3 separate regions of the Mus musculus genome follow, and all the other regions are reported to be linked to region 3. The links are microRNA targets in miRTarBase. Many come from high-throughput screens and were not tested one by one. Region 3 holds a microRNA gene; each other region holds the end of a gene's coding sequence.

What was found. Region 3 holds the annotated microRNA mmu-miR-135a-5p (UAUGGCUUUUUAUUCCUAUGUGA, at 2,139-2,161, shown strand). A microRNA usually pairs through its seed, bases 2 to 8, with sites in the 3' UTR of a target mRNA and lowers its output. Matches are read on the target gene's strand: a 7mer-m8 pairs with bases 2 to 8, a 7mer-A1 pairs with bases 2 to 7 and ends in A, and an 8mer does both.
Region 1: the mRNA of Mbd4 is a reported target of mmu-miR-135a-5p. Seed matches in the 3' UTR shown: 7mer-A1 at 1,940-1,946.
Region 2: the mRNA of Smad5 is a reported target of mmu-miR-135a-5p. The part of its 3' UTR that is shown has no 7-base or 8-base seed match.

Annotation. Positions count from the first base shown.
Region 1 is chr6:115,838,601-115,842,796 of GRCm38, reverse strand. Mbd4 (methyl-CpG binding domain protein 4) reads left to right here. Exons shown (of 8, transcript NM_010774.2): 8 at 235-2,100. The coding sequence ends at 312. Among named protein-coding and RNA genes, the nearest start is that of Efcab12, 2.3 kb to the right of the region's middle.
Region 2 is chr13:56,737,103-56,741,342 of GRCm38, reverse strand. It overlaps Smad5 (SMAD family member 5), which reads right to left. Exons shown (of 7, transcript NM_008541.3): 7 at 1-4,008. The coding sequence ends at 3,865. Among named protein-coding and RNA genes, the nearest start is that of Gm45623, 15 kb to the left of the region's middle.
Region 3 is chr10:92,070,058-92,074,301 of GRCm38, reverse strand. Mir135a-2 (microRNA 135a-2) reads left to right here and starts at 2,117; the gene lies at 2,117-2,216.

The sequences.
Region 1 (4,196 bases), not on the chromosome of region 3:
GGTTAGCTTCACAGGGTCTCTAATCATCGCTGCCTTCTGCTCCAGGTCTGGGTTAGTTCTGAACTGGAGAGCACTTTGTAATCCATGTAGGATATCTGTTGTATAAGGTATAACTATATACAGTCTTGGATGCTGTGGGGTTCCATGTCCCGTTTATCTCAGGTATATTATCATGATGAACCCCCTCACTAAACCTTTAAACATGTCTATGGCTGAATGTTGCATTTCTTCCAGGTGCACCCTGAAGACCACAAGTTAAATAAATACCATGACTGGCTTTGGGAGAATCATGAAAAATTAAGTCTATCTTGAAGCTGCCTGTTTGAAGTTTCCCATGCGTCGCCTTGTGCTTCGGTTTCTAAGGGCCCTGTGGTGTGCAGTGAGCTCCCTTCCCGGCACGTGGATTTTTTTTTTCAGTTTGTTAGAAGCCAGTGTATGTCTTAAGCCTCTGCCAAAAAAAAAAAAAAATTGTTAGATAATGATCCTAAAAGTGTTCAGTTTAGGTTTTCCAATGATGAAATTCAACACGCCAATGCTCAAATCCAGTTACCAGCACTCCTGCTAAAGAAAGCCTAAACATGTATTCTCCTTCTGTATAAAGTGATATTGTCATGTGTGGAAAGCCTGCCATTCTTAATGGGTATTCCAGTGTTATAGCTTAAATAGTGAGGCATTTACTTTAGAAAGATATCACTAACTAAAAACCGAATTGACCTTACATGGTGGCACACCCCTGTAATCCCAGCACTCAGGAGGCTGAGGAAGAAGGATGGAAAGTTGAGGGCCTGCCTCTTCTGTGTAGAGAGAGACTCTGCCTCAAGCACAAACAGGGCAGGGCCAGCAAGTGGCCCAGTAAATGAAGTCACTTGCTGCCAGGCATGATGATCTGAATTCCATCCCTGGAACACACTCCTGAAGGTTGGCCTCTTACCTTCACTTGAGCTCATACATAACATGTTACAAAATACATAAAATTTTCAGAAATGGTCTGCAGAGAGATGGTTCAGTAGTTTAATATGCTTGCTGCTTTTATAGAGGTTACTTTTTAGCACCCACATCAGGCAGCTCACAACTGCTTATAACAGCTCCTGGGGATCTGTCACCTTCTTTTGGCTTCATTGGGTACCTTAGCACATGTGGCATATATAGATATAAAGATATACATAAACATAAAAAAAAAATTAAGTCCTAATTACTTAACACTTTTTTTTCTTTTTGGTTTTCCGAGACAGGGTTTCTCTGTGTAGCCCTGGCTGTCCTGGAACTCACTCTGTAGACCAGGCTGGCCTCAAACTCAGAAATCTGCCTGCCTCTGCCTCCCAAGTGCTGGGATTAAAGGCATGCGCCACCACTGCCTGGCTACTTAACACTATTTTAAAATGTAGTTTGAAAATTAAATTATATCTCCTCCTCAAGGCAATATTACTCAAAAATGCATAGTATTCCACCCCATTTTTCATTAATAAAATATATTTTTCATTAATAAAATATATTCACCCATGCCAGTCATCATGGTATACTACTATAATCCTAACACTTGGGAGTCTGGAGAGAATCATGATCAAGGCCAGCCTGGGCTATATGGTAAGACCCTATATCAAAAAAGAGCAAAAAAACAAACCAAAAGATCCACTAGTGGCACACACACAGACAATGAGCAGATGGGCCTTATAATGTATATGTGATGAAAATACATACACAGTACCTGGGATGCTGATGCAAGAGGACCTCTGAATTCAAGGCAGCCTGGCTTATGAGAGTGTGAAGGCAGCTTTGGTTACACAGCAAAACCCTGTACAAAAAATACAAACCAAGTTTGTTGGACTAAATAAGCTATGTCTGCAGAAGTGTCTGTCTGTCTTGTTTAATGGAATTCTTTTTTTTAAAGATTTATTTGTTTTATGTATATGAGTACACTGTAACTGTACAGATGGTTATGAGCCATAATGTGATTGTTGGGAATTGAACTCAGGACCTCTGCTTGCTTCTGGCCCTGCTCTGGCCCCGCTCGAGTATATGGAATTCTTAAGATCCTAATATACTTATGAAACCTATCACTTTGTATTAGGTAGTTAATAAAATATTTTTATTAAAAAGTAAGGTCCCTTTGGCATTGTGTTCTTGACCACTTGCATTGGCTCTGAGGAATTTTAGATTTGCCCTTAATATCCCTGTGCGAGTGTGGCTTATGGCTCCATTGCAACTCACCCTTTAACCCTGATCCTTTGTGAAACCTTCTCTCTCCCAATGTTTGGTGCCATTTCCATGGCAGGTGGTATACCATCATGGTTCTAGTTCCGACGATCAATTGTCATTCTAAGGTTTGGTTTGAAAATTAAATCGAATGAAGGCAAAGTAAACCAGCTGTCAGGAAGCTATTTGTCGTAGGATAGCGAGTGGGTATAGGCAGATGTGCTCTGTTGCAGGCTAATTGATTTTTCCTCTGGTGAACAGGTGGCAGCTGTGAGAGGGATGCTGGAGGTGGAGAGATCATTGGTCACAGAGTAGTCAGGTTCAGTTCCTAGCATGTCTATGGAGGGGATCTGTTGCCCTCCTCTGGGCACACAGGTCGTGTGTATACATGCATGTGAAATAAGTTCACATAAGTGTAAAGAGATGTGATGTGGCAGGAAAGCTGGCCATACCTCCCACTTCACAATAACCCTTAATATTTTCACAAACATCACAGGAACACACATAAGTGCAGAGCTCTGTGCTGGGGAGGGAAAAGGATGAGAAGGCTCTGTAGAGACCTCCCAGGAAGAGAACAGTGCTAACAGTATGGCAGAGAAGACAAAGTGAGGATGGAGATCCAGACACAAGCAGGTCAGAGTCCAGAGAAATCTTTGGATGCCTGGGCCATGGCCAAGGTTAGGTGGCAAAGCAAATTTCCCAAATGTCAGCTATGAGATGAGATAAGGCTGCAGGGCAGGGCCACTTAACCCCCCTCTCCCTGGTCGCCTTGAAGGGGAGCTCTGTCTGGCCAATTGCTGGGGTTCCAGGGCGACTCTTTCTTTTCAGGAGATAAGGTTGCCTGACCTCCGTGCCTTCCCTCGCATCTCAGTGAAACCATGGTGCCTTGTCATGGTTTTGTAAGTGTTCAGAGGCTGTGGCTCAGAAGGGCCAGTAGAAGCGAGTGCCTCGGGTTGTGGGGAGTCAGGAGGATGCTAAATCTAGTGAAGATGGTCCCCAGCACAGAGAACTTGTTCAAATGTTGATCTTTATTTTGTGACCTACAGTTTAAAATGTTAGAATCAGGTGGGTAGTTCAGCAGTTGAGTTTTCCTGGCATGCCCAAGGCTTAGAGCTCAGTGCCCAGCAGTACAAAACTTTTTCTTTTTTTCTTTTTTTTTTTTTTTTTTGGAGACAGGATTTTTCTATGTAGACCAGACTGGCCACCAATTCACAGAGCTCCTCCTGTGTACTACCATACCTGGCCAGACCACATTTTTGTAAGTGTTTAATTAAATGGTTTTGTTTTGTGTTTAACACATTTACAGCCACTAACACTAGCTAACTCAAAGACATTTCTGAGCCTGGCGTGGTGGCACATGCCTTTAATCCCAGCACTTGGGAGGCAGAGGCAGATGGATTTCTGAGTTCGAGTCCAGCCTGGTCTACAAAGTGAGTTCCAGGACAGCCAGGGCTATACAGAGAAACCCTGTCTCGAAGAAACAGGTGTAAGGCCTGAGCCTGAGTCTGGATTCTTCCGTTTACTAGACTCCTCCATGTAGTGTGGGTCATGTATCTTTCCATGCACACCCCATAGTTCACCTATTAGTGGAGATTTCAAAGGTTTATTATTAGGACTGGTTCTAACCTGTTTCTGGCTTTGATTAAAGATAGGCTCTCATTGAGTGGCTCTGGCTGGCCTGGGACTTATGTAACACAAGCTGGCCTCAAACTTAACGTCTATCTTCCCGCGCTGGGATACAAGTGGTTGCCACCAAAACTGTTGATTCCAGACCATAACACCCAGTCATAGCACCAAATACCTGTCTTTTATTTGACCTTGACTGACTAGGATTCTCAGAACCCAGGGTAGAGTTATGATACTTTTTTTAAATGAGAAAAGTGAAGCCTGAAGATAAGATCTGTGAAGGACCTGCAGCTTACAAGAAAATAGGACATTTTTTTTTTTCTTCAGAATAGGGGGCCATGGGAAGACTGGGACATATGTATGATTTCCCAAAGGAG
Region 2 (4,240 bases), not on the chromosome of region 3:
AGTGTAGAAACAACTCCTTAATCTTCACTCCCCATAAAGGCATTATTTTCACAAGAAAGATGAAGAACTGGTATCTCCTAAAGGGAAAATCCTACTGCTGTGAGGGAAATACCCACCTAGCTGGAGATTACTTTCAAAAAAGATGCTCTACCAAATATCTGAGGCTACCTATAAACAACCAATGTTTAGTCGTATGTATACTGAGAACACATTTCTACCGAGACCCCGGATAGCAGAGGATTTACTCGGCCGGACAAAGATGGGTTCAGACAAAGCTAATGGATCTAAAACCAAACCCTCAAAGGGGCTGAATTTTAAAAGCCATCAGAGCTCACTGTACTCTGCAGTGCATGCCTGTAATCCCAGAACTCCAGAGGCAGAGGCAAGAGAATTACTTCAAGTTTGAGGCTGGCCTACATAGTAATTTCCAGGCCAGCCAGGACTGTACAAAGAGACTGTATCCCAAAACAAAATAACAAAGACTTTTAAAAAAGAAATAAAAAATAGTAATTTTTTTAGAGAATCTTTAGGAAGCAAAGAGACGGGACTTTTAAGAGACCAGTGAGTGACAGGGACCCAAGTGCTGCCAGGGAAGTGACCAGAGAAGGTTCGAGGATACTGAGCCAAGCCTCTCGGTGCTCTCTGTGGCAGAAGCACAAATGGCATTGCTGACAGGCGTGCCCTGGACCAGTAAGACTTCACTTCTTCATCTACTCTGTCCTCCCAATGGCGATACTGGCAGGGGATGGAAATGTTTCCCACAGTCCTCTCAGGCATAGGGAGACTGTGAGGTAACCCCAAGTGTTACTTGCACGGTTCATTTCATATTGCAGTGTTACTTTCATTCATACCCCCAAAGGGTGTTTAACTTGGTTGAAGTGTTATATTTAGCAATCTTACTACTGGTTTCATCTTAGAAACTCAGCCACATCTATGACTACTTTTCTTACACCTGCAACCGTGAAACATAGAAAAAAGGGGACACGGATTCCTACTCTGTTCTATTTGTTTGCTCTTTGACTTTTCTTTTTTTATTTTCCTCCAAGACAGTTTCTCTGTGTAGAAGTTGCTCTGTAGACTAGGCTAGCCCCTGCTTCCCGAGTGCTAGAATCAAAGGCATGTGCCACCATTACCCAGCTTTTGATACTTTAGAACTGACTTCCTCCTATAATTTTCTCTAGTTCTGGAAGGCCCACAGCACGCCTACTTACAGCCCTTAAGTTCAGTTGGGTGACATCAGTGAGGTCATCACGCTACGCTGAAGGTATACTAGTCAAATGTACCTCTTGGTCCTGCTTTTCCTAGGCAGCATCTTGTTGCTGTAATCCATCGCTGAGATTTTGATTCTTCCATTTACAACATTTATCAAACTGATGGCAATCTTTATTATTTGCAAATCTTTTTTCCCTGGCAGATACTAATGTATTTTGTATACTAAATACTTGGCAAAGTACATGCCTAGCACGCCTGAAGACTGAGGCTGATCCTTAGCACCACGGAAGCTGGGTATGATGGCGGATGTCTGTCATCCTAGCACTTCAGAGGGTAGAGAACTGAAGGCTACCCTCAGCAACTCAGCATGGTCAGGGTCAGTCTGGGCCCCATCAGAGCCATCTCTGACAAAGACTGTACCGGCACTGGTCTGGTCTGGTGGCTTCTTCAGAGGCCCTACTCCCTGCCCTCTGTGGTTCAGTGCACACTTGCTGTCTTCATCTCACTGTGAGTACTGCCTACCCACAGGCGTCTGTATATCCTTACATACAGTAAGGACAGTACAGGAGCAGGTAGACTACACAGTCTCCATTTACTGACCACAGAATAGGTTGGGATTTCTCCATGAACCTCAGAACAGCTCAGAGCTTCAGTCCTGCCACTGTACAGATGGCAGGCCACATAGGACTCTGCAAGTCCGAGACCTATGACATGAAGACTGTGGAGAGACAACATGTAACCCACTGCTGAAAAAAGGAGCAGGCAAGGCCCTTGTGTCCAGACTTCAGCAGAGCTCACAGACATACACTCACTCAACTCAAGACACGTTCTTACAAACCTGTTCCTGAAGGCTGCCAAGTAAAGGAACATGAACGGTTTCTGCCTCGGCTATAAAGCAGACATCTCTCTCATGGAGCTGACACACTCTTGCTATGGAATACTTATGTCTACAGCTCAAGCTACTGAAGGCTATCAAGGAGCCCTCTCTGAAGGAGCAAAGCCACCCAATGGTTGCACTCTGAAAGGCAATAAATAATGGCACAGAAAACAAAAGGAATCCCCCCCCCCAAAAAAAAAAATAGCTGTTTTCCTCATAAAGGCAGGAAGGGCACTCTAAAAAGTCAAACCAAAATTACATTTTCAGCAGAAGAACCAAGTGGCTCTGTATATTTTCAAAAGGCACCAGAAAAAAACCTTTCTCACTCTGATAGGCAAATGAGGCCTTTTTCTTTATCAAAGTAGTGTCTTCATTCTCAGGCCATGACTGTCCATCTCAGGCCATAACTGCTCCCTAGAAAGTGGTTAAGAGTCCTAAGGACAAGGCACAGTGAACTAGATGAGTGTCTTAAGAGTGTTCACATCCAACAGTGTTGTGGAGATTAGCGTCCATGTAGGTTCTAAAAGGATAAAAAGAAAGAGGCAGAGCGTTGATGCAGAGAGACAAGCCTACACTCTACATTGTCTTGCTATATGACATATGACATGAACTATCCCAATCCCTATTGTGATTCACTTACACCAACAGCCTCATTCTTGGGCCAACCAAAGAGCCTCTACTGGCTACACTGCACGAGTCCTTGTATGACAAGTCTGGTAAGGAGCAAAGGTATTCATACATACATAACCTTTCAATGTCAATAATGCTCATAACATTGTAGGGGACTAACAGGCACCTTAGCTGGAGCTATAGAAGAACAACATTATAAACTACATTGGAAATTAAAGGCTAGAAAAAGCAGCACAGCTCACAGCTGTCATCTCTAAGTGGTCGTGTTGCACAAAGGAGTGCCAAGGCAGCGAGGAGGAGCTCTAAAACCAGGCCACCTAATAGTATTTTACCAGAGGCTACACTAAGACAGTCACCCATAAAAGTGCAAAATGAAAAGATTAATGCACAGGAAAATTAGAGTTCTTGAATTGTTGGCCCAAAGCAGCAAACAATGCTGAACAAGGCCACAGAGCACATAGTAACTAACTGTTAAGTAGGACTTACAACAAATTTGAGTAAATGAGAAATACTTGAAGTTTTTAAAAAGGAATTGTTTTACAAAATATATATGGCATGAAGTCACATTACACTGATGAATATTACCTATATTAAATGTAAATGTATGACGTCCAGAAATCTACCACCTTGCTTTCACTGAACACGTTAGGACTGCAGTGTCCTTCAAACAAGATTCAACAGTTTCCTTTAAGCAAGCCCTACTTTGAGGTTTTGCAAACAATGTATGCTTTTTCAAAGGTGGTAAGGCAAAGAAATTCCCAGAGAAATATCATCTACTGCTTTCCACAATATATGTTCTCTTATAGGATAAAATTTCATTATGTGATGAACTACTTTGTAAAAAAAATTTAACAAATTAAAAAACGTTGGGACAATAAGAAAAAGTACGTTCCAGTTTAAGATCAATGCTAAACATTTCAACAGGGGCAAAATACTCTACATCGTTTACAATACTTTTGAAAGTTAATCACAATGAACACGAATACAAACAAATGTAATATCATCATAAAATACAAATGTGTTGGTCACAATTACGTAGAAAAAATAATATCTGTTTTCCATGTCAGCTCACAGCATCTGTACTGGAAATTCCTCTAAAATTAAAACAAGTCCACTAAAAATATAGTTGAAAGAATACTTCTGCACTATGAAACAGAAGAAATGGGGTTCAGCGGAGAGCCCATCTGAGTAAGGACTTTATCCAGCCACTGCAGAGGCCCGTGGAGGTGAATCTCAATCCAGCAGGGAGTACTGGTGACGTCCTGTCGGTGGTACTCTGCTCCCCAGCCCTGGAAATGAACAGGCAGCAAAGCAAATCGCTCTTGAACAGTCAACAGTCCACACTAACTTTAACAATAAAAAGCTTAACTGCAGAAACACATAAGACTTACTTAAACTACAGAAAACCAGTAAGCACTCACATATGGTATTAAAAGACACATCTGCAGTATTCAACTCTTCAACAAATAACAGAATTTCTCAGACACAGACCCATAGGACTAAGAACATGTTTAACTGTTA
Region 3 (4,244 bases):
TCACCAGGGAGTGAGAACAGGGAAAGTCAAGTGTCTTTGTGAATCACAGAGAAAGAATGCAGGGGGAAAAAACCCCCACACATCTGGTCTCAGGCTTTGATTTCCCACACAACCAAGTCACAGGATCGCCATGCCAACCTTAAGCAATTTTGGCTCCCAGCAATCCTGTGCTGGAGAATCTTTCGAACTACCCTTCAATCCTGGTCCAAAGGGCCACAGCCCAGACTAGGAGAAAGAGTGCATTATCTGAGAAAAGGCCAGGCTGCTTTCCCATTGGTGTATGTGTTTGGTGCCACAGCTAAGCATCACTGGGGTCTAATACGTGGATGATCCCCCTTTATGGAGTGACGGGACTCCTGAGGAAAGGGCAAGCACTGACTGAAAAAAAGAGTCATTCTTCCATGTGTTCTCAAATAAAGAACAAGGCAGGCCTCTTTGATAGCTTCTGAAAGAGAAGAGGCACGCTAGAGGAGATGAGCCAGCTGGGGGTGGGTTATTTTGGGGAGGGGAGCCAGCTGGGGGAAGAGGTAGAGTAAAGCCAAGGCAGAAAGGTGGAGGTAGATGAGCAGCTGTGTTTATTTTAATACATATCATTTAACCCTCACCTGAAAACAAATTGGAGAGGCTTGGGAGTGCATTAATCTGGACCCAATTAGCATGTCTTTCCCCTTCAAAAAGTGCAACCTGAGATTAATGAACATCAACCAGAGTTTCAGAAGCAGCATTTAAATCATTTGCATGTTTGTGCATGATAATTGGATTTATGTATGCACTTCCTTCCATTTAACTATTTCCAGTCACCTTATGATTCATACAACCCAAAACTTCACTATAGTGATTTCTAGGTAGAAATAGCTTGCCTAGCATTCTACCCCTTAAGGGGAAAACCTCAAGTGGTTGGGGTTTTGTACATTTGAACTTGAATAGCACATTTCTTTCTTTCTTTCTTTTTCTTTTTAAGTGCAGAGGGCAGTTGATAATAGTGTAGACCGCTGCTGCTTCTGGAGTTGGTAAATAGGCACCTCAGAATTATTTATTTATTTTTGAAAGGCTAGAAAAATAAGGAAATTTCCTACATCAAGTTTTCAGGGCTTCGGTGCAGCACACTGGTGAGAGTTTTATAATGCCAGGAACAAGGCCACTTGAGATAATGCAGCGTGAGAAATGTTCTTGGCGGCCTCTGTACCTGTGGTACTTAGATCACAGAGACATCAGCAGCCAGGATTGTTTCTGGCTTAGTTAGAAACTTGTTTCCATAGAAAGAGGTAGGAATGTCCTCAACGTCTGTGAACTCCTGCGGACAGGCAAGGAGCACTTGTGGACCCTTGATGTTGTGGGTTTGATCCTTCTCATTCCCTTCCTCCCTCCCTCCCTCCCTCCTTCCTTCCTTCCTTCCTTCCTTCCTTCCTTCCTTCTTTCCTTCCTTCCTTCCTTCCTCCCTCCCTCCCTCCCTCCCTCCCTCCCTCCCTCCCTCCCTCCCTCCCTCCTTCCTTCCTTCCTTCCTTCCTTCCTTCCTTCCTTCCCTCCTTCCTTCTTTGCTTTCTTGCTTCCTTCCTTCCTCCCTCCCTCTCTCCATCCTTCCCTTCCTCTCTTTTTCTCTTTCCTTTTTAGGTTATTTGGGTATAGACAGCTTAATTATAACACAGCACATGCAGGTCTTATGTTCTTCCTTTCTACTTGGTACCACATGAAATATCTGAACACAGTGAATGTATAAGAAAGCATCTATGGGAGAAAGTACAAGCAGGAGGCTTGAAATTATTCTCCTGGCTTCAGTTCGTACATTGATTTGTCTGTCTGCTGTCTTTCCTTATGTGTTTCCAAGTTCAATGTCCAAGTGATGAGCTTTTCTCCAGGAATTCTCCCCAGTGTCCTTTGTTTCTGGTGACATTCCATGGTTGAATGTTACTGAGTGTCTCCTGGTCTTGTTTCTGGTCCTCGTAGCGAAGAATGTCATTGAAGGATAAAATCTTGTTAATTTGTGATGTTACAATCTAAGTGTGCTTTGTGTCCCTTACATGTAGCCTAAAATGTTCCTTAATGTAGCATGAAATGATTGGTTAGCTTGGAAATGGTTTTGAAGTCGTGTGAAGAAAATAAGTTTTACATCCGACCAAGATAAATTCACTCTAGTGCTTTATGGCTTTTTATTCCTATGTGATCGTAATAAAGTCTCATGTAGGGATGGAAGCCATGAAATACATTGTGAAAATTCATCAACTAAGAAGGGGCCATCAGGATAGCAAACTATAGCCTGTGGACCATGCTGGAGACGTGAGCTAGTGGACATCTCTGCTTCCCTCTTTGGTGTTCCTTGAGTGTCTTTATCCTTAGGCATTGACAGCTAAGGACTGGAAGTTTCGAGAGCTTTTTCATCTTCCTGACCACCGATTAACATGCACATTCGACTTTGCGCATTTCTGTCTATCATACATTTTTTTCCCTCCGTATTTTCTACTAACGATCATGCTCTGGGAGAACGTTAATAGCCCACTCACTTGTAGGCAGCATTCAAACCTTCTGTGGCTTTTGCTCGACAACTTTTGAGGTCTTTCTTCTGAAAACAAAGAAGAAATAGACAAACCAGATTTGTCCTCTTGGAAATGTGGTCCAGATTTCTCTACTCCCAATCTCCAAAATAAAGGTATACCTCGCATGGGCTAGTGCCATACCCAGATCCAAAGATTTAGTCATTTTCCCTTCACAGGTGTGTATAGTGAAGCTTTGAAGGGGGGAGGTTGGGTTCTACTATCTTCACCAAGTCAGCTGCGTTAAAGGGTCGTATGAATTAAACTGGGGGACTCAATCCTTGTCTTTAAAAATAGGGGGGGTGGTGATACCATCATTATTATAAGGGTTAAATAAAGTGACATATCTATACTTGACTTAACACAGTATTTCGCCTTGACTCTGTTTTTAAAAGCTCATGAAATACTAGTTTTTCTCCCTTCCCTCCTCCTCTTGTCCCTTTCTCTCCCCCGCCTTTACCCTTCCCTTCTTCAGATGTTAGTCTATCTAGAACAACAGATTTGGATCTAAGCTGGACCTTTGAGAAAGAAAAGACTTCGAGGAAAAACACCTTTCCATATGTTTTATTACCTTTCACCTGAATTGTTTAATGCACACTATCCAACTATATTCATCTTTCTTGCTTCATGTGTATTTCTTCTTTTGCTTGAACTGCTTTAGAATTGACTTTTGAGCTACACAGTCATTCTGGATTTTTAAAAAGAGAATTCTAATAAAAACTTATATATGTTGTTAACTTTTGTCTCTCTGTTTTCTCTATACAATAAGATAGTATTCTGTGTTTTATTAGTGTCTTTCTGCTTTAAGAGGCAAATGGTAATTCACCTTAGAAGGCTCTTGCTGCGGGGTGCCAAGAGTTTCCCTTCTTCCTCATAGTTCACTGTCTGTCAGCAAATGGGAAAAATTGCCAGGGTAATTGTAACCTTGATGGTTACTTATCTTTGAAATAACTAATCTATAGACTTTGAAAACCACCCAAGTCCGTAGAATAAATGTGGGTAAGCAAGAGCACACATAATGGAACTTTAAATAAATTCCACAGTAATGGAATTGAATCACCATCAAAACAGAATATAGTGAGAACATTATATAGTTAAATACTTGATTTGCACCCAGAACATTTTTATTATCATTTGAGGTTTTTTTTCAATCCATTGTTCACTCTTACCTCAGTTTCTCTTTAATGGCTCCAATGTTGATGAGTATTTGAAGAACTGTAGACCCATGAATGGAAAAAGAAGACACAAGGAAGAGGGGAAGAAGAAAACAGGGGAACTATAGAGTAATGAAAGGAGCAAAAGACTTAGTCACATGAAAACATACTGTGTTTAAGGTAGGGAAGGAAGACATGTTTGTAATACAGTAGTTAGCGCTAGGCCACTCAAGATAGATGGTACCTCAGATAAACTTCAGGTATGGCCCTACACAAGGGAAGTTTCCTAGAATTGAGGGGGCGGGGTGACCACAAAATCTATATTAGCAGCCCAAGCAACTGGCACATTTCCATAGGCCAGAGTCAAAGACTTCAAATTAATTTTTCAAGAAATATATGAAACGTGTTTACGAATGTTTCTTGGAAAATTTTCCAACATGCAAAGTATTCTACCCTAGAGAATATATTTACTTCTAAAAATCTTCACAAGTATCATTAAAAGCAGAGAGTGGATTTTAATGGACACTGTTAGATTAATTAATTACTGCTGTGTCTCAGTGGG